Linked DNA regions of Macaca mulatta. Each later gene encodes a partner of the first gene's protein in a complex. Links are inferred from orthologs where the notes say so. Each region holds a gene or a part of one and is shown in the gene's direction. Other genes may lie near its edges.

Region 1 (9,568 bases):
GATCACTGCTCACTGCAGCCTCCAACTCCTGGGTTCAAGCAATCTTCCTGCCTCATCCCCCCAAATAGCTGGAATGACCATGCCCAGCTAATGTTTAAATTTTGTTTTGTAGAAATGAGGTATTGCTATGTTGCTATGTTGCTCGAACTCTTGGCCTCAAGTAATCTTCCTGCCTTGGTCTCCTGAGTAGCTAGGACTATAGCCACATTCATTTCTTGTTTTATTTTTGTTTTTTTCTTTCTTTTTTGAGACGTGGTCTCGCTCTGTCACCCAGGCTGGAGTGCAGTGGCACAATCTTGGCTCACTGCAACCTCCACCTCCTGGGTTCAAGCGATTCTCCTGCCTCAGCCTCCCGAGTAGCTGAGACTACAGGCACGCATCACCACACTTGGCTAATTTTTGTATTTTTAGTAGAGACAAGGTTTCGCCATGTTGGCCAGGCTGGTCTCAAACTCCTGACCTCAGGTGATGCGCCCACCTCGGCCTCCCAAAGTGCTAGGATTACAGGCGTGAGCCACTGCACCCGGCCATATTCATTTACTTATTTCCTATGCTCTCTCCATGTATTTATCATGTGTCAGGTACTGTGCTAAGCACTGAGCAGCCAAGGTGATGATGAAGAAGACAAAACCTGAAGCTGATCATTTTCTGCCACTGTTAAAATCTTTTCACAGGCTTCCGATTAATTTTAGAATAAAAATTTAACTCCTGGGGCTGCCATTCAGTACCCCTCATGTTCTGGCCCGTGACTCTATCCCCAGCCCCTTACCCATCACCTAGACACCAGATACATCAGATTATTTGCCTATCAATAAATATTTCAGGGGAGCTGGGTGTGGTGGTACATGCCTGTAGTCCCCGCTACTCAGGAGGCTGAGGTGGGAGGATCACTTGAGCCCAGAAATTGGAGGCTACAGCGAGCTATGATTCTACCACTGTACTCCAGCCTGGGCTACACAGTGAGATCCCCACCTCTAAAAAATAAGTACATAAATAAATAAATCAGGGAGGAACTTGCCTTTGAGTCTTGCTACCTGTGCCTCTGCCTGCTCTCAAATCCTACAATCCTTTAAAGGCTGGGTTGGAAATGTTACCAAACTCCCTGGAGAAGTTTTTCAGAACCTCTTCCTATGCAGCCTGAAAGAAGTTATTTTTTAAACAAAATATTTACAGTGCTTCACACACGCTGAATTCCTTGAGGACAGGGGTCCTCCAGCATCTGGCATAGAGCCTGCAATATTCCCCCACGGAAACTCTTTCATTCCAGATTCTCATCCACACTTCATGTTTCCTATTTTATTTTTCACTTCTTATTGATTTTTTTGTTGTTATTTAGTTTTTATTTCATAGTCACAATCTTACCTCTGCAATTCAACCAGACATGGAAGGGAAGAGGAAAAACATGGGACCCAGGCTGGGCGCAGTGGCTCAAGCCTGTAATCCCAGCACTTTGGGAGGCCGAGATAGGCGGATCACGAGGTCAGGAGATCGAGACCATCCTGGCTAACACGGTGAAACCCCGTCTCTACTAAAAAATACCCAAAAAAAACTAGCCGGGCGAGGTGGCGGGCGCCTGTAGTACCAGCTACTCAGGAGGCTGAGGCAGGAGAATGGCGTAAACCCAGGAGGCGGAGCTTGCAGTGAGCCGAGATCCAGCCACTGCACTCCAGCCTGGGTGACAGAGCCAGACTCCATCTCAAAACAAACAAACAAACATGGGACCCAAATGGAACTGTAGCAAGAGCACAAAGACGATAGGATACTGGGAGCAAATGGGGTGGATAGGTGCTCTCCTGAGCTACTGAAGAAATGGTCTGGTGGTTAAGATAAAACACAAGTCAAATTTATTAGAGTTGTCCATAGTCAGCAATGGTGATTTTTTTTTTTTTTTTTTAAGGTGGAGTTTCGCTCTTGTCGCCCAGGCTGGAGTGCAATGGTGTGATCTCAGCTCACTGCAACCTCTGCCTCCCAGGTTCCAGTGATTCTCCTGCGTCAGCCTCCGGAGTAGCTGGGACTACAGGCACCTGCCACCACGCCCAGCTAATTTTTGTATTTTTAGTAGAGACGGAATTTCACCATGTTGGCCAGGCTGGTCTCAAACTCTGGACCTCAAGTGATCTGCCTGCCTCGGCCTCCCGAAGTGCTAGGATTACAGGCGTGAGCCACTGCACCCGGCCATAGCAATAGTGATCTTCTTGCTGGTCTTGCCATTCCTGGACCCAAAGCACTCCATGGCCTCCACAATACTCATGCTTGCTTTCGCCTTGCCGAAGACCACCATGCTTGCCATCTAACCACTCAGTCTTGGCAGTGCAGATGAAAAACTGGGAAGCGTTTGTGTTGGGTCCAGCATCTGCCATGGGCAAGATGCCAAGATCTGTATGCTTCAGGATGAGGTTTTCGTCATCGAATTTCTCCCCATAGATGGACTTGCCACCAGTGCCATTATGGTGTGTGAAGTCACCACCCTGACACATAATCCCTGGAATAATTCTGTGTAAGTAGGAACCCTTGCTGGGCGCGGTGGCTCACGCCTGTAATCCCAGCACTTTGGGAGGCTGAGGCGGAGGGATCATGAGGTCAGGAGTTCGACACCAGCCTGACTAATATGGTGAAACACCATCTCTACTAAAAATACAAAAATCAGCTGGGCGTGGTGGCGCATGCCTGTAATCCCAGGTACTCAAGAGGCTGAGGCAGGAGAATCGCTTGAACCCGGGAGGCAGAGGTTGCAGTGAGCCGAGATTGCTCCACTACACTCCAGCCTGGGCTACAGAGCGAGACTTCATCTCAAAAAAAAAAAAAAAAAAAAAAAAGAAAGAGAGTACTAGCAACCCTTATAATCAAATCCTTTCTCTCCAGTGCTCAGAAAATGAAAGTTTTCTGCTGTCTTTAGAACCTTGTCTGCTAACAGCTCTGATATGTTAACATGGCTTTATGGTTTGCAGAGGTCACTTCTTGGCTTCTTGGTTTCCAGGCCCCTAACCTTGAAGGAGACGCAGCCCGAGGGCTTGACCATAATGTCAAAGAACACGATGAGATTGACCATGGCCAGCAGTAGAGTACTCCTGGCGGCAGCAGCGTCTGCAAAGCTCACTTTTTTTTTTTTTAATATGGATTTTCGCTGTTGTTGCCCAGGCTGGAGTGCAATGGCACCATCTCAGCTCACTGCAACCCCCGTCTCCCAGGTTCAAGCGATTCTCCTGCCTCAGCCTCCCCAGTAGCTGGGATTACAGGCGCTCAGCTAATTTTTGTATTTTTAGTAGAGATGGGGTTTCGCCACATTAGCCAGGCTGGTCTTGAACTCCCGACCTCAGATGATCCACCCGCTTCGGCCTCCCAAAGTGTTGGGATTACAGGTGTGAGTCACCAAGACCAGCCAAAGCTCATTTCCTTTTTTTTTTTTTTTTTTTGAGATGGAGTCTCGCTCTGTCACCCATGCTGGAGTGCAGTGGCACGATCTCAGCTCACTGCAACCTCAAAGCTCACGTCTTATTGACTTCTAGCATACTGTACATATCTTGCCTATTTTCTTGGGAAGGGATTTTTTTCTGTTTTGTTCACTACTGTACCTTGTGGCTTAGAATAGGGCTTGGAACACAGTAGCTTCTCACAGATAATTGTTGAATACATAAAGTAAATAAAATGTGTAGTCAAAACTATGGGGCCTGCAGGCATGGTGGCTCACATCTGTAATCCCAGCACTTTGGGAGGCCGAGGCGTGAGGATCGCTCGAGCCCAGGAGTTCGAGACTAGCATGGGCAACAAAGCTAGACCCTCGTCTCTACAAAAAACAAAACAAAGCAAAAAAACCTAGTCTATCTTTAAGCTACGTGGAATAATATGAACGAGAATATATCAGCGTGACCTCAGTAGGTACGTATGCCTAGGAGGGGAGAGAAGGGCTGGACAACTAAGCCCCAGACACAGCCCGTTAAGGCGTGGAGTAGGCTCCTGGTAGCTGAACTGAATCTTTAGCACTCCACCCTGGAGAGGAAGAAGGGGTTCTCCAGGGTCAGCCAGCAGGCAGCTGCATCCTTTCTGGAAACCAACCAGTGTGGCCAGCCGGTATTTGTCGTTCGTCCTTGTTTTCACCTAGTCAGGCCCAAGAGCCTCAAGGTGGGGTGGGGGGTTAGTGGAAGCTCGTAGGGGGAGGAGGTGACAGTCCCCCGAGTCTGGCCCCTTAATTCAGCCATCCCGCGGGCAGGCACCACACTGAGAGTCTGGATCTACAAAGGACGCGCCTCCTATCCTTCCCCCACCACGACCTGCTACGTGATCTCGGAAACAGGGTCTAGGACTGAGGCCCCTGCCCCCTCCTCTCGTAATTTCCCGGAGAATATGGGGCGGGGCGGTGAATCAGCACTCGCAGGGACTGATGCAGCCCTGATCCCCGCCAGGGGTCCCCAGCGGCCTCGGGATTCGAACCACCCCCCCAGTCCTCCTGCGCCTGCGCGCTACCTCCGCTGGGAGTTGTAGTCTTGACCGCCCCTTTGTCCTCGGTCTTCTCAACGCCTCGGCCCACGGCAGGTTACACTACAACTCCCAAGGGCCCATGCGTCGGAGGCCTGGCGGGGCGGGGGGCTGAAGGGAGAGGGATAAGGGGGCGTCTGGAGAAGCTGGGGTGAGGGAACTGAGGAGTGAAGTGAATAAAGAGGAGAGTGGGGGCGCAGTGGGAAAGGACGTGGTGCCCGGAAGACGCGCAGTGAGCCGAGTTGGGGAGCGGGGAGCTCTAGCCGCGGCCGGGCCCGGGCGGGGCCTGGGCGGGGCTTGCGGACGAGCGGGCGGGGCCTGCCTGCGTCATGCGGCGTGGGCGGGGCCGCAGGGGGTTGTCCGTCCGTGGCACGCACAGCAGCCGCAGCCGCCTCGCTCCCGGTCCCGCGGTCGCAGCTCCAGCCGCCTCCTCCGCGCAGCCGCCGCCTCAGCCGCTCGCTCCGTGGGTCGGTCCTCTCCGGCACTTGGGCTCCAATCGCGCCCTCCAAGCCCTTCACGCCACCCCAGTGTCCTCCTCCTTCTCCGGCCAGACCCAGCTCCGCGAAGATGGTGGACCGCGAGCAACTGGTGCAGAAAGCCCGGCTGGCCGAGCAGGCGGAGCGCTACGACGACATGGCCGCGGCCATGAAGAACGTGAGTGTCTCCTCCCCTCCCCCGCCGCTCCCTGCCCCTCCGAAGACGCGGTCCTTGGCGTGGAAGGCCCGGGGCTTCGTCGCCCTGTCGCGATGGTGGGGTGACCGCCCCGTCTCGCTCACTGAGGGGGGCCGGGGAGGGTCCCCAGAGCCGACGGGAACACGGGCTGTGACGCGGCCTCTCCTCGGCGTCCCCGGGGCCCCGCGGCGCGGCCTCTCTGGCCCGGCGCGGGCGCGGGGCGGGGCGGGGTCCTGCGGGGCTGGACTTGGGAGCGGGGTCTCCGGTCCCAGCGGCTCTAGGGGTACAGGGGATCCGAGCGGGGAGGCGTGCGCATCCTTTGTGCCCCACTTCCCCCCTCCTCCCAGCCCGGGCGTGGGGGCGGGGGACCGCATGGATGCGGTTCCTCTTTCTCTCCCTGGTGTCTGGGCGGCGCCTTTCCCATTCACTCAGCAGGTCTCCCGGTTTTCCACCTCCCCAGCCCCCCCAAAATCTTCCCCACTGTCTGTCCCGACAGATCCCTGTGAATCTTCCCAGAAACATTGTATAGGGTCTCTTGAAAACCTGAGCTCCGTGGCGCAAAATCGAAACCACCTTGCTCACGTTTTTCTTAACAAAAGGCTCTTCTTTCTCCATTCCCCCAAAGCAAGTCCTCCGGCTTTTAGGAAGGGGGAACGTTTGTCTCGCTAGCGTTTTCGTTGATCGTTTTCAACATGTCATCTCCATTTTATTCCCTAATGTTTTTGTATTGAAAAGGGTAGGTATTGCCTGTAAAATAAAAGGTGGTGAATGTAGCTGACTGGTTCGATCCGTGTGACATATGCCGTTTCTTTTTTGAATACAGGCACGCGTCTGTGAAATTCCTATAAGTTGGGGGAAAAAATATTCTGTCTGATCTGATAGTGCAAACAAAGCGGTGGTGAGAGGCAGTATCAAGTCATTCCAGAAGATTCTGCATTTGTCATATTGCAGAGAGCCTAGACTGGGTGGAGGCTGGGAGGAGTTATTTTAAAGGGGAAAAAGTCTTTTTAAAAATTTTTGGTCGTTAGATGCATCTGAGGCTTTTTTTTTTTTTTTTTTTTTTTTTTAAAGCGAGTACGTCTTCATGCTGATGAAAAGAGAATACTGATCTCCAGTTGTCGCATTTTGTCTGGGTTGCAGATTCCTCCCTGTATTGCACCATTTTGTCAGTAACACTACATTTATCTAATGGGCTGTCAACCAGTTTGATATTAGAGGAGGGGGAAGTATTGAACATTATGAAATGAAAGGTAGAAAATTAATGATTTCGGGCCCCCACTATCTTAATATTTAATTTCCTGCCTTATGTAACAAAGGTTTTTCAAATGCATCTCCATTGTAAAGTGGATGCTGGAGTGTACCTTGCATGTTACATCTTTTAAATGAAGCATTATTGATATTACAGATCAATTCTTGAATAACTTTACTGGTTCTCAAAAGAGGACAATGCTGATACCTTTACATTTAAACCAGGTATTTTAACAAAGAAATGTTTTTGTCTTATTAAAGAAGAGAACCGGTTCTGAAATTCGGAATACTGCTATGGCCACAGCTGCTGTCTTACAAGGTTTTAATGCTCAAATGATGTAAGTTGCACTTCTAATGGGTATCAGTATTGGAAATATCTTCAGTTCGTGTTATTTAATTTAGACTCTTCTAATTTTTCCGTATTTCTAGTTCCACAGGAAAGCGAGTGACCTCGCACCTATATCTATAGCAACCAAGTGATGTCACACACAATGACACAGAGGCTGCAATGCACCTAAGGGCTGGTAGGGAGTGTGCAAATGGCATTTATCCAAGGTAATGCAGAAATTAGCCGATAAGCCAGGTGGAATCGAGCACTTCATATTCCACCAGATAAGAATTAGTCCAAAAAATAAGGATTTCATTTACCCTTAAACATGCAGATCCCTGACCTCTAGCTAGGCCTTGTTCACCCTATTGCTAGCTTTCTCACAAAAGTTTATAAGATGCTTTTTTTATATTTTTAAACATTCATCTCACTTATTTAAAATACTGGGCAATAATGGAATAAAAGTAGAAATTTTAAACGATAATATATTTTATGGAATGAAAGTAGAAATTTTAAACAAGAATATAGTTTACGATAATAGTGCAGAGATGAGATGTGTACTTGTGTTTATTTCAGATAATGAATTTGGCAGGTTTTAATAAAAACCTTAAAAAAATGATGACTTTCTACTGAGTCATTTTCAGTTACTGTTAGGGAATGAGAACCAGTTCCAAAACCTTTTAAATCGAGGTTTGGGAAGTTTGTTTTTTACTAGATTTGTGCTTCTGCTCCTTCACAGTATAGAGGAAAGAACAGTTTGTAAAATAAAAACCTTTTTTCAACTCTGTTTCCTGTGACTTTAAGGAAATAGGCCCTGTCCCTCATTTTCCTCATCTATAAAATGGGACAGTACTTGAAAAAGTTGTGCGGATTCAATAAGAAATGTAGTAGGTGTTCCCAAATGGCAACTACCTAAGAAATTGTCTTCCTGTTTATAAAAGTCATCATGGAGAATTTGGAAACTGCAGAGAAAGAACCCAGTCTTACCACTCAAGTGAGCTCTCTTTTAAGGCCGAAATCATCCTGTTGATGGATTAAAATTTATTTGAGTTTAATGAAATTATCCTAGTGCTAACACTATTGGAATCTGTGCAGAATGATAGTTCTGTGTGGGCAACCAGGACAGAAATACTGTATTATCCAGTATTTTGAAAAGAAGGAAAGAGGAATGTTAGGTCTTTTAAGACACTTGTTTAGTCTTGTATTGAAGGAGATTGAATACCTAGATGTATCCTATGTATTAGACAATATTGTCTTGTCCTTTGACTTTTAATAGTCTCTTGAGAAGTTAATATTTTAAGTAGGCTACTGGTACTTGCCTCGGGGGGAGAAAAGGTTCAGGGCTACTAATTTTGTTGAAGTTACTGGGTTAAGCAGTTTAATTCAGTGAGGGGTGGTGGGGGCAAAGGTGGCAAAAGGCTATCATAATTTTTCTAAATCTTCCTAGTGGGATCAGTAGACTTTCAAATTCTTACTATCTTAAATATTCCATTCCCTAGCCACCCCCCCCGCCCAGCTTTTCCAGGAGATCAATAGCCATTATCACTAATGGAGTAATGGTACCTCTGTAGACTCTTCAGAGGTGGAGTTCTGCCAACCATTATTCTGAGTCATGTGGCTTGAATTGTTCTCTTCTTGAGGGAAAGAATACAGATCATACAGCTTGCTATTCATGTGTTAGCCTTCACAGTAACTGAAGCAGATATTACGTATTTTTCCGATTATTTTGGAAATCTCCTATGTGTCTTTTGAATTCTACTGAGATTCAACATGGTGCTAAATGTTCATCCTCATTGCAGTCCTGGATTAACTGCAGACCTTGGGTAGGAGTTCATCTCTTATATTCAGGGAAGCCTTATTTATTAAGCCACTCTCTGAATTATTGAAAAGAGTGAAGAAAACGTTGTGTTTTTATTGAGGTAGAAGTTGCATAACATAACTTTAACATAGTCACATCACATTTCAAATGTGCCGTTGAGTGGCATTGGGTACATTCAGTGTTTTGCAGCCATCACCTATGTTCAAGAAAGGAGAAAGTGGTTACTTTTAAAAAGTGATGCCGCTCTGGCCTACAGCTGGCTGGAATTCAGCACGCCATTACCGATTCAGGAATGTGTCGATAATGGAGTGCCCACAACAGCTCACAGCCAGCGATAATTGTCTATCCCTTTGTCTTCGTTTACAAGCCTCTGAACTGAAAAAAGGGAATTAGCTTTAGTTAAGTTTTGTACCGTATTCCCACTTAAAAAGTTATGGAACTTGAACACCGTATAATGTTCACCCAAATAAATAAGAACAATTTACTTGAAGTCTGAGCAAATCATTACCTCTTTGGGGATTATGGAAATTTTGCTGGTGTTCTTGTGACTCGTTTTCAGCCCCAAGGCTGGCTTTATTATCAGTGATTTGCCGCCTGTGTGGTGGTGGTTTCCTAATGAGCAGGATGCAGGACTGAGACTGGGGAGTTCCTGCAGCTTGAGGCTGTCAACTGATGGGACACCAGCCCAAGACATTCAGTACATCATTGTGACTGTCAGCAGCTGGATGGGAAAAGTACCGTTACTTTTCCCTTCTTTGCCCACTGCTAAGATCACCGGTCCTAACCTTTTTTTTTTTTTTTTTTTTTTTTGGAGAGAGTCTTGCTGTCACCCATGCTGGAGTGCAGTGGGCAGTGGTGTGATATCTGGGCTCACTGCAACCTCTGCCTCCCAAGTTAAAGTGATTCTCCTGCCTCAGCCTCCCAAGTAGCTGGGATTACAGGCAAACATCAGTCACCACGGCCAGTTAATTTTTGTATTTTTAGTAGTGACAGGGTTTCATCATGTTGTCCAGGCTGGGCTCGAACTT
Region 2 (9,668 bases), about 130 Mb from region 1:
CAGTTGGGGTCCAGTTCTTATCTATTGCACTCTCCTTCAGGCAACCAAGAGACTTAAGCTACAAAGGTCCAGACTCTCCCAGACTCTCCCCTTAAACCTCAGGCCCATACCCTTTGGCCCCGTGCGACTTAGCCTACACCTTCCCATCCCCACAACTCACTCCTTAACAAACTCCCCTTTCCTATCACACACACCAATGACCCTTGGCCAATTTCCTTCTATTCATATGTTAACTGTAGACTGAAGTCCTGATTCCAGCCGTACTTTCCCCTTATGAGCAGAACAGTGAGGAAATTGGCTGAAACAGAACAACAATCAGCTCCCTCTCACTTCCGTGCCTACTTTACATAGAGGCACACCTCATTTAGACTCCCACAGCCTTCCTGTTATGTCTCCTTCCTCTCTCTGCTATCGATCTGGGGCTATGGGACAGAGAATCTTCAATATCCCACCAGTGCCCACATATATATACCAACCACTACAGACACAGTTATCCTTATTCTCATACTGTCTCTCTCTCTCACACACACACATATATACACACACACACCCTCTCTGCTATGCTCCCCCACCCCAGCTATCCCTGGGAAGCCTAGATTGGATTTGTGCCCATGGTCTGCAGCTCCCCTCGCTCTGTCTGCTGGTCACCCTCTGAAGGAACGGGGCCCAGTCTTGTTCACCCTCTGGCTCAAGAACAAAGTATGATTCTACCCACCCTCTACCTCCAAGCACCTCCCGTACTCAGACTTAACTGCCTGACCCACAACTGAAAAGAATGGCTCCTGGATCTTCACAGGTGTGGTGAGGCCTGGTGAGAGGGGAGCCTTCTAGTCAGTGCCCCACCACGTGTCAGGACCATGTTAGTTCCAGGATTCAGAGATGATTAAAACTAATCACGCACCTTGAGAAACTCACAGTGGAAGGAAAATCAGTAAACAGAAAAATGCTACATAACCAGGTAAATGGTGGAACAGATTTAGGAAGGAACAGTGTGGATACACTGGAACAGGCTCCAAAGCGGCATCACCTCGGAGGAGGATCTTGAAGACTCAGGAGTTAACTGGGTCAAGAAGTATACACACAAACACTTCTCACAGGTCTGCAGAAAATGGGGAGTCCACAAAAATAGCACTTGGGCAATGGAAGCAGGACACACCATTCCATGCCCACAGCATTGCTTCCTGTGTGCAATGCACTGTGTGCTGATCTACAGAGATTAAAGAAGCCGAGGTCTCTGCTTCCAGTCACTTGGGAGAGAGGCACAAGGTAAATTATCAAATAGAAGGCAAACTGCCCAGGGCTGTAATTAACATACAATATGCGCTGAGAGGGAAAGGTTAATGCTAACTCTGGTCCTAAGTACAAAGATCATTGGGAGTAAGGGGTGCACTCTCATTAGGGCTCAGTAGGGGTGGGTGGAGAGAGTAAAAACCAGAACAAATCAAGGTGCAGCAGTTGGAAGTCAGCCTTAGGGAGAAAAGGGGCGGAGACTGACTGGGCCAGAACAGAGGGATTGGAAAAGAAAAAGAGGGTGGGGCCAGTGGGCTCCACCTACCCGCTCCGGCCCTTCCCCCCACCCCCACCCCATCTACTTTCTGCAGTCTGTGGAGACAGGTGAGCGACGAACTCCTGAGACAGGTGTGAGTGTGAGGGTCGGGAGGGTCATGGGATTGGGACCAAGGTGTGAGGAGGGAATCTGCAATTCCTTGCTACACAGAGCGCTGGCAACTTCTGACAGGCTGTTTTGGGGGTATGGGCTGCCTCGGGTTGTTGCTGTTACAAGGAAAAAGGGTTCCCCTGCCCACCGCCTCCCAGCCACTGGGCTAATTCCTGGCAGGAAACTTGCAAACTGAGTTTAACGAGTTAGGATCAGCAGAGGGTAGAGGAAGGCCCTGGCAGATGTGGGGTCTATCTAGAAGAGGACAGGAGTTATCAGGGTCTCTGGCCACTGTGCTGGGCCTTTGCCTGTACAATTGTTTCTCAAGCAGTCGTGTCCCTGTGGCTGTGGTGCGCCTGTGTGCACTTTCTCCCTCCACCTGGAGCATGGGCTGACACCGGAGGAAAGGAAAAGACAGAGTCAGACAGGGTAAGTGGGGGTCCCTCCCCCCTTCTCTAACAGGGCTGGATTGAGGGCCTCTGGCTGGGGAGGTTGGGGGTGGAGATCCAGGAGCAATAACAGAGGAAGGGCAGGGCCTGCCCCACCACCTGAATTCCAGAGATGCCAGTGTGCACTGAAGTCCCAGGCAAGGCGTGCCCAGGACCGGATCCTGGATGGTGGTGAGGGACAGAGCTGGAAGGGAGACTACAGGGAAGGATAAAGTAAAGAAGACAGAGCCATGACACAGTCAACTTACAGAATGGCTGAGAGTCAAGGCTCCTGGGCTGGTTTCCTGGCTATTCCACACACGCCAAGACCTAGAGAGAATTTCAGAGCTGGAGGGGACTCCACAGATTATTTGATTTGAGATTGAAGAACCTAGAAACCAAACAAGGAAATATCATATGGTTACTTTGGTATCTGACACAGCCATGACACCAATTGCTAGTGTAGACACAATAGCTATGTGTCTTTTTGCAGGAGCCTGGGGAGGGGCCATGGTGCCAATGTACTTATTGGGGAGACTGGAGAAGCCGCTTCTCCTCCTGTGCTGCGCCTCCTTCCTACTGGGGCTGGCTTTGCTGGGCATAAAGACGGACATCACCCCTGTTGCTTATTTCTTTCTCACATTGGGTGGCTTCTTCTTGTTTGCCTATCTCCTGGTCCGGTTTCTGGAATGCGGGCTTCGGTCCCAGCTCCAATCAATGCAGACTGAGAGCCCAGGGCCCTCAGGCAATGCACGGTGAGTTAAGGGGTGGGCATCAGGAGAGGAATACACCTTGGGCCCATCCTCCCTCCCTCTCTCCCTGTAGTCTCTGAGGCATAGAGTCTCTGGTTTCCTCTGTCACTGGCATCAGCGGGAGGAGGGGTCAGAGGCCAACACAGGATCTTTTGCCCGTAGCAGACAAAAAAAAGGGAAAAAGGGCTTCTTTCATGGAAGCCACCAATGGCCTTATTTCTCTTCCCTCAGGGACAATGAAGCCTTTGAAGTGCCAGCCTATGAAGAGGCCGTGGTGGGACTGGAATCCCAGAGCCGCCCCCAAGAGTTGGACCAACCACCCCCCTACAGCACTGCTGTGATACTCCCAGCACCTGAGGATGAACAACCTAGCCATCCAGAGGGGTCCAGGAGAGCCGGACTGGAACAGAGGCGAATGGCCTCAGAGACTATGGCCCAGGAAGGAAGCCCTGAAAGAACTCCAATCAGCCTTCGGCTTCGGGGACCACGGGCTGTGTCCACTGCTCCTGATCTGCAGAGCTTGGGGGCACTCCCCAGATTAGAGCCCCTGACTCCACCCCCTGCCTATGATGTCTGCTTTGGTCAACCTGATGATGATAGTGTTTTTTGTGAAGACAACTGGGCACCCCCTTAAACGACTCTCCCAAGATTTCTCTTCTCTCCACACCAGACCTCGTTCATTTGACCAACATTTTCCAGTGCCTACTATGTGTCAGAAACAGTGTTTCTGGCTGAATATCATAAATGGGGACTTGGACCCTGAGGAAAGTCAGGCCACGGTAAGCCCTTCCCAGCTGAAATGTGGGTGGCATAATTTGAGTCTTCTGGCAACATTTGGTGACCTACCCCATATCCAATATTTCCAGCGTTAAATTGAGGATGAGGTAGGGAGGTGATCCAGAGAAGGTGGAGAAGGAAGACGTAACCTCTGAGTGACGGCTATTGCTTCTGTTCCAGGCGCTGTTCGAGCTGTTAGATCCCTTAGGCTTGCCAGCTTTGTGAGTTATTATTGAAAAATGAGGATTCCAAGAGTCAGAGGAGTTTGATAACGTGCACGAGGGTACACTGCTAGTAAATAACATTAACTCCTCATCCCAAAGCCTATTGTGTTTTCAACACAAGATAATAGGAAGCCAAGCCACGTGCATGTCTCCCAATCCCTGTCTAGGGACAGCTGCTGGTGCAGGGTGGAAGACTTCCTATAAACAGAATGGGGGACCAATTGTGTCTACAGAGGGGGTGGGCTGAGCATGGGCACGCATGTCCCCAGCCTCCTGGACGAGCAAACTCAGTCAACGCTCTGGTGATCCTTGCTCCGCATGGGTAGCAGTGTCTGTGCCTCTCCTGCCCAGGTGCTAGAGAGCATTCCCCAGTGCAGGGTCCCCAATGTATTTGAAAACAGTGGAGTCAGTGGCCCTAGGTGGAGGGTGGGTATGAAGGCCAGAAAGAGTGAAACATGTGAGCTTTCTGGCCAGGAGATTCCCTCTTGAATCATCCATATGAAGCCCCGGGGCCACTTGCGAAGCGTCTCTAATAGCTTCTTCCTCACTCCTGCGCTCTGACCGCTAGACTTTCACCCCAGCCGCCGGTCCGGATTCCTGAGATCCCAATATTGAGCACCAGGTTTCCTGGAATTGTGTGCTGCGGCTGTGATGTAGGTTTCGGTCGCAGGAAGCTGCTAAACCATAGCTGACGCCCCCTCCTAAGCCAGCCTTCCTTCCCCGCGCGGGTATCTGTCCAGCACCTTGTCGCGCTCTCAGTCTCCTCCACAGCCTGGCCCCAACCGTTCAACTTCAATAAAGCAAAACTCCAGCCACACAAGTCTCCGTGAAGTTATCGCCATAGGCCGGCCAGGGGGCGGGAGAGGTACCGGGGTGATTTCCGCGGGAATCGATAACCAATCGGATTCCCAGGCCGAACGGAGCACACCCGCCCGCACTCGCTCTTTCCCCGCCCTTTGCCCCGCCCCGCTCCTTCTCCTCCCTTTGTCTTTCCGCCGAGCTCCCCACTTCACCCCATTGGCCCGCGCGGCCGCCGCTAGAGCTCTGCGCCTGCGCACGCACCGGGCGGGAGGACGCGGTGGCCTGGCGTGGGGGCGCGGCAGGGCGCAGGCGCAGGCGCAATGTGTGTCCGCGTGTGGGGGAGGGATGTGGGCGAGGCTACGGCCCCCAGTTTGTTTGGGCTGTGGGCGGTGCACAGTGCAGAGCCCGGGAAAAGCGGGAAATGGCGGCGCCGAGCGCAGGGTCTTGGTCTACCTTCAAGCACAAGGAGCTGATGGCCGCTGACAGGGGACGCAGGTAAGTAAGGAACAGTCTTAGGGCTACTAAGGGAGGGTCCAGGGAAGGGGAACGTGGGCCCCAGGCGTGCGGCCCTGCAGCCCCCTCCCCTCGGAGCCCCGGAAAGCAGCCTTGTCCGCGCTTCCTGCCAAGGGTGGGAGGCCCCGCCAAGCAGTTCCGAGCCTGACTGCGCAGGGGCCCGCGGGCGGACCTCTTGGCCTTGTCCCTCGTGGAAGAAGACTGCCCTAGCCTCCCTTTGTTCAACCCACGAGGGTTCTAAATAAGGGGAGCTCCTTGCAGTCCTGCCCACTCTTGGCTTCTCTTGAAGATTCTTCATCCTTTCCTCTGGCTCCCTTATGAGGGAGACTATAAAAAGACTGTACTCTGCCCCCTTAAAAACCGCCGAGACCTTCTGCAGACCTCGGTGCTCTGCCTGATGTGCATTTGATTTGTATCGACTGTATCGTGATCTGCATGGCTTTGCATACAATCACCAGATTTTCGAAGAAGTCAGTACAGGGTTTGGAAATTGAGTACTTTTGGCAGAACAGGGGGGTTCCTGTGGCTCCAAGTGTCCATGCCTCTGCCCCGGTCTTTCCATTTCATGGCAGGCATCACCCAGGAGAACATTGTAATGCCTCCCGCTCGAGACTGAAGATTAAGGTCTTCGCAAAGGGAACCTGCAGAAGGACACAGAATTAAGACGTAGGAACTCCCGTGGTGCCCTTCACCCCTCCTCCCCTTCCAGTTGTGTCCTGAAATTCTAAATGATTGGAAACTTTTGTAATGTTCACGTTTAAGACTCTCATACTATGGAGTAGAGGAAGGAGCGGGTGTGCAGAGTGGTTGATGCTTCAGATTAAAACTAAAGAGTTGATTGAAAATTCAAGTCTGGAACTCGAGAGAGTTAAGAACTGTTAAGTCAGTAAGTTGCAAGTATGGGTGAGATTGTCTAGGGAAAGGATCTTTGAAGGGGCGTCCCTAATGGAACATCAACATTAAGGGGAGGCCAAAGGCCCTCTAAAGAAAACAGGAATTGGGTAGGCAGAGAGAAGACTCCCAGGTGCTGTCATGGAAAAAGAGAAAGAGAACAATTTAAGGAGCGAATACTACTGGTAAACTAATGGAAGAAATCTGCTGCACCATTAGTTGGTATCCCAGCTGCAGTGTTATATGTGATCGTTATTACTGCTTTGATGTATTCGAAAGTGATTCATTCTTAAATGGATTTTTTTATTTGTATAGCTTTTTTTCTTATAGCCGGTTTTTACTGAAAGTCTGGGGTAATGGAAATATGACAGTAAAAATAAGGAAAAATGGAGTTTCAGACTCACTTTTCCAAACCTCAGATTCATTGACTGCTTCCAACCCACTTTGTCTGCTTTAGGATCCCACCTGCTATCTTAGGTCTCTCAGTTCCTCCAGGATCCTGCTCTTCCCTCTTCTAACTATAAATCTCTCACCCAATAACATCTCCAAGCCAAGTGCATCCATTCCATAGATGTGTGGTATTTCACTGATTGTAAGATACACATTTTTCCCCTCCCCTTTTTTTTTTTTTTTTAGATATAGTCTTTGCTCTGTCATCCAGGCTGGAGTGCAGTGGAATAATCTCAGCTCACTGCAACCTCCATCTCCCAGGTTCAAGCGATTCTCCTGCCTCAGCCTCCCCAGTAGCTAGGACTACAGGCATGCACCACTACACTCAGCTAATTTTTTGTATCTTTAGTAGAGACAGGGTTTCACCATGTTGGCCAGGCTGGTCTCAAACTCCTGACCTCTGGTGATCTATCCACCTCAGCCTCCCAAAGTACTGGGATTACAGGCATGAGCCACCGTGCCCGGCCTCCCTTCCTGTTTTAACACCTTAGAAATCAGGATGCATTTTAGAGTAGGTTTTGAAGTTATAAACTGAAGTTACTATATCTTCACTGCTATCAGGTGCTGCCCTTCCTGTTGTCACATATTTGGAAAATGTGACTTGGCAGGCTAGAGAACTCTGGATTTATGTAAAGTAGGCATGTAGATGACATATATTGGCAATAGGATTATTTTAGTTTATAAGCAGAAGCTGATCTCTTTGCAAGCCCGTGGCAAAATTAGCTGGAGGTGACAGCACATTCCTGTAGTCCCAACTACTTGGGAGGCTGAAGCAGGAGGATCACTTGAGTCCAGGAGTTCTGGGCTGTAGAGTGCTATGCCAGTCACGTGTCCACACTAAGTTCAGCATCAGTGTGGTGATGTCCTGGGAGCCAGGGTCCACCAGGTTGCCTAAAGAAGGGTGAACCAGCCCAGGTCAAAAGCTGGGCAAGTCAAAACTCCTGTGCTGCTCTGTAATGCGGTCATACCTGTGAAGAGCCGCTGCATTCCAGCCTGGGTGGCATAGTGAGACTCTGTCTGTTTTAAAGTAAATAGATAAGTACCTACCCACTGTGACTTTCTGTCATACTTCCTGCTTATCCACATCTTAACGGGATTCTGATAATTTCTAGTGCCATTTTGTCACTGGAACTTAAAGTTTTAAAAAAACATGTAATTATATGTTTATATCATTAGTGAAAGAGAGTTAGTGTCAGCCTCATTTATTTTCTGTTAAAGCCATTGGCTTGAGTTTTTGTCATAGCGTTGTTTTAGCCCTCATCCAAGATCATTATAAACTTCCATCACTTTCACCAGCTTAAATAATGTGAGATGATTTCTGAAATAGTTCTCTTAATTAAAATTGGTCTATCAGAGAAGTATTTCTTCTCATAAATATGTATGCTTGGGGGTATTATTTTGCTTAAGATAGACATTTCCCTCCCCTAGTCAGACCATTCATCTCAGATGATCTCAGCTGAACATAAACCATAAGGAATTAGACATTATTTTCTTATGATCAATGCGTTACTGCTTAGTACGTCTTTGATTTAACCAGATTCAATAAATATGCATAATCTTCGTTATTAGAAGTCTTATTCTTTTTCGTTCTTTCTATTCATGCCTCTTCCACTCCACTCTTCTGTGCCAAATTGTGTACTTGACAGCCTTTCCCTCTACCTTTTATCTGTAGGATATTGGGAGTGTGTGGCATGCATCCTCACCATCAGGAAACGCTAAAAAAGAACCGAGTGATGCTAGCCAAACAGCTGTTGTTGAGTGAACTGTTAGAACATCTTCTGGAGAAGGACATCATCACCTTGGAAATGAGAGAGCTCATCCAGGTATCTGGAGGCAAAAGAGAGAAGATAAATTGATCATAGGGGTGGGAACAGAGCATGACAAAATATTAAAAGGATGTCGTATCTTTATCCTTTTTTTTTTTTTTGAGACGGAGTCTCGCTCTGTCGCCCAGGCTGGAGTGCAATGGCGCGATCTTGGCTCACTGCAGCCTCTGCCTCCCAGGTTCACATGATTCTCCTGCCTCAGCATCCCAAGTAGCTGGGACTACAGGCGGGTGCCACCACACCTGGCTAATTTTTTGTATTTTTAGTAGAGATGGGGTTTCACTGTGTTAGCCAGGATGGTGTCAATCTCCTGACCTCATGATCCACCTGCTTCAGCTTCCCAAAGTGCTGGGATTACAGGTGTGAGCCACCACACCCAGCTGGATGTTGTACGTTTCTAAAGAAATGGAAATGCCCTTCTACCATAGAGCATTTGACAGAAATGATATAAATTCAAGAATAACAGGAAGGACTTCACCTAAACATATCTTTTCCTGTAAAAAGAATTATTGAGAGGAATGAGGACACTACTAGGAAGCTCATGTGGAGAAATAGAATTATAGGTAGAGAAGTAAATATGATTCCATGTTTTATTCTTGTGTCTTAGGCCAAAGTGGGCAGTTTCAGCCAGAACGTGGAACTCCTCAACTTGCTGCCTAAGAGGGGTCCCCAAGCTTTTGATGCCTTCTGTGAAGCACTGAGGGAGACCAAGCAAGGCCACCTGGAGGATATGTTGCTCACCACCCTTTCCGGGCTTCAGCATGTACTCCCACCGGTATGAAGCTTTAGTCATATGGGGTGTTGGGAAGGAAAGTTTGACTGGAAAGCAATTTGTAAGTCAGAGTGAGGGAGACTAGATTTTGTTGTATTTGGAGCGGACCACCTCCCTAAGGTCTGTCATCATGAGTTTTGATTTCTTACAGTTGAGCTGTGACCACGACTTGAGTCTCCCTTTCCCGGTGTGTGAGTCCTGTCCACTTCACAAGAAGGTCCGCCTGTCGACAGGTGAGAATTGATGGACTAAAAGGGGTCCCAGGCCAGGCGCGGTGGCTCACGCCTGTAATCCCAGCACTTTGGGAAACCGAGGCAGGTGGATCACCTGAGGTCAGGAGTTCAAGACCAGCCTGGCCAACATGGTGGAACCCCGTCTCTACTAAAAATATAAAAACTAGCTGGGCATGGTGGTGGGTGCCTGTAATCCCGGCTACTCAGGAGGCTGAGGCAGGAGAATTGCTTGAACCCAGGAGACGGAGGTTGCAGTGAGCCAACACAATGCCACCACACTCCAGCCTTGGCGACAGAGTGAGAGTCAGTCTCAAAAAAAAAAAAGGAGGGGGGTGTCCCACATC

Evidence for each region. Proteins that work in one complex are often made in the same cells at the same time.
Region 2: the proteins of YWHAG (region 1) and CASP2 are in contact, whole or in part, in a crystal structure (PDB 6S9K), measured with the Homo sapiens proteins. The link is inferred for Macaca mulatta from reciprocal best matches to the Homo sapiens genes YWHAG and CASP2. Residues at the interface, in NP_036611.2 of Homo sapiens: Glu15, Asn43, Val47, Arg57, Arg61, Lys125, Arg132, Tyr133, Pro170, Gly174, Leu177, Asn178, Val181, Glu185, Glu213, Asp214, Lys217, Asp218, Leu221, Ile222, Leu225, Asn229, Leu232, Trp233; in NP_116764.2 of Homo sapiens: Asp137, Leu138, Ser139, Leu140, Pro141, Phe142, Pro143, Val144, Cys145, Glu146, Leu150, Lys152, Lys153, Leu154, Ser157.

The regions. Positions count from the first base shown.
Region 1 is NC_133408.1:49,991,241-50,000,808, forward strand, and holds the start of YWHAG (14-3-3 protein gamma), read left to right. Parts: upstream 1-4,801; 5' UTR 4,802-5,040; coding exon 5,041-5,127; exon of another isoform or gene 5,128-8,025; intron 8,026-9,568. UniProt on the Homo sapiens protein: Adapter protein implicated in the regulation of a large spectrum of both general and specialized signaling pathways. Binds to a large number of partners, usually by recognition of a phosphoserine or phosphothreonine motif.
Region 2 is NC_133408.1:183,308,969-183,318,636, forward strand, and holds the start of CASP2 (caspase-2), read left to right. Parts: upstream 1-4,829; 5' UTR 4,830-5,060; coding exon 5,061-5,134; intron 5,135-5,724; exon of another isoform or gene 5,725-6,029; intron 6,030-8,165; coding exon 8,166-8,316; intron 8,317-8,926; coding exon 8,927-9,094; intron 9,095-9,242; coding exon 9,243-9,324; intron 9,325-9,668. Other genes in the region: TMEM139 (transmembrane protein 139), read left to right, coding at 2,503-2,840, 3,069-3,471. UniProt on the Homo sapiens protein: Is a regulator of the cascade of caspases responsible for apoptosis execution. Might function by either activating some proteins required for cell death or inactivating proteins necessary for cell survival.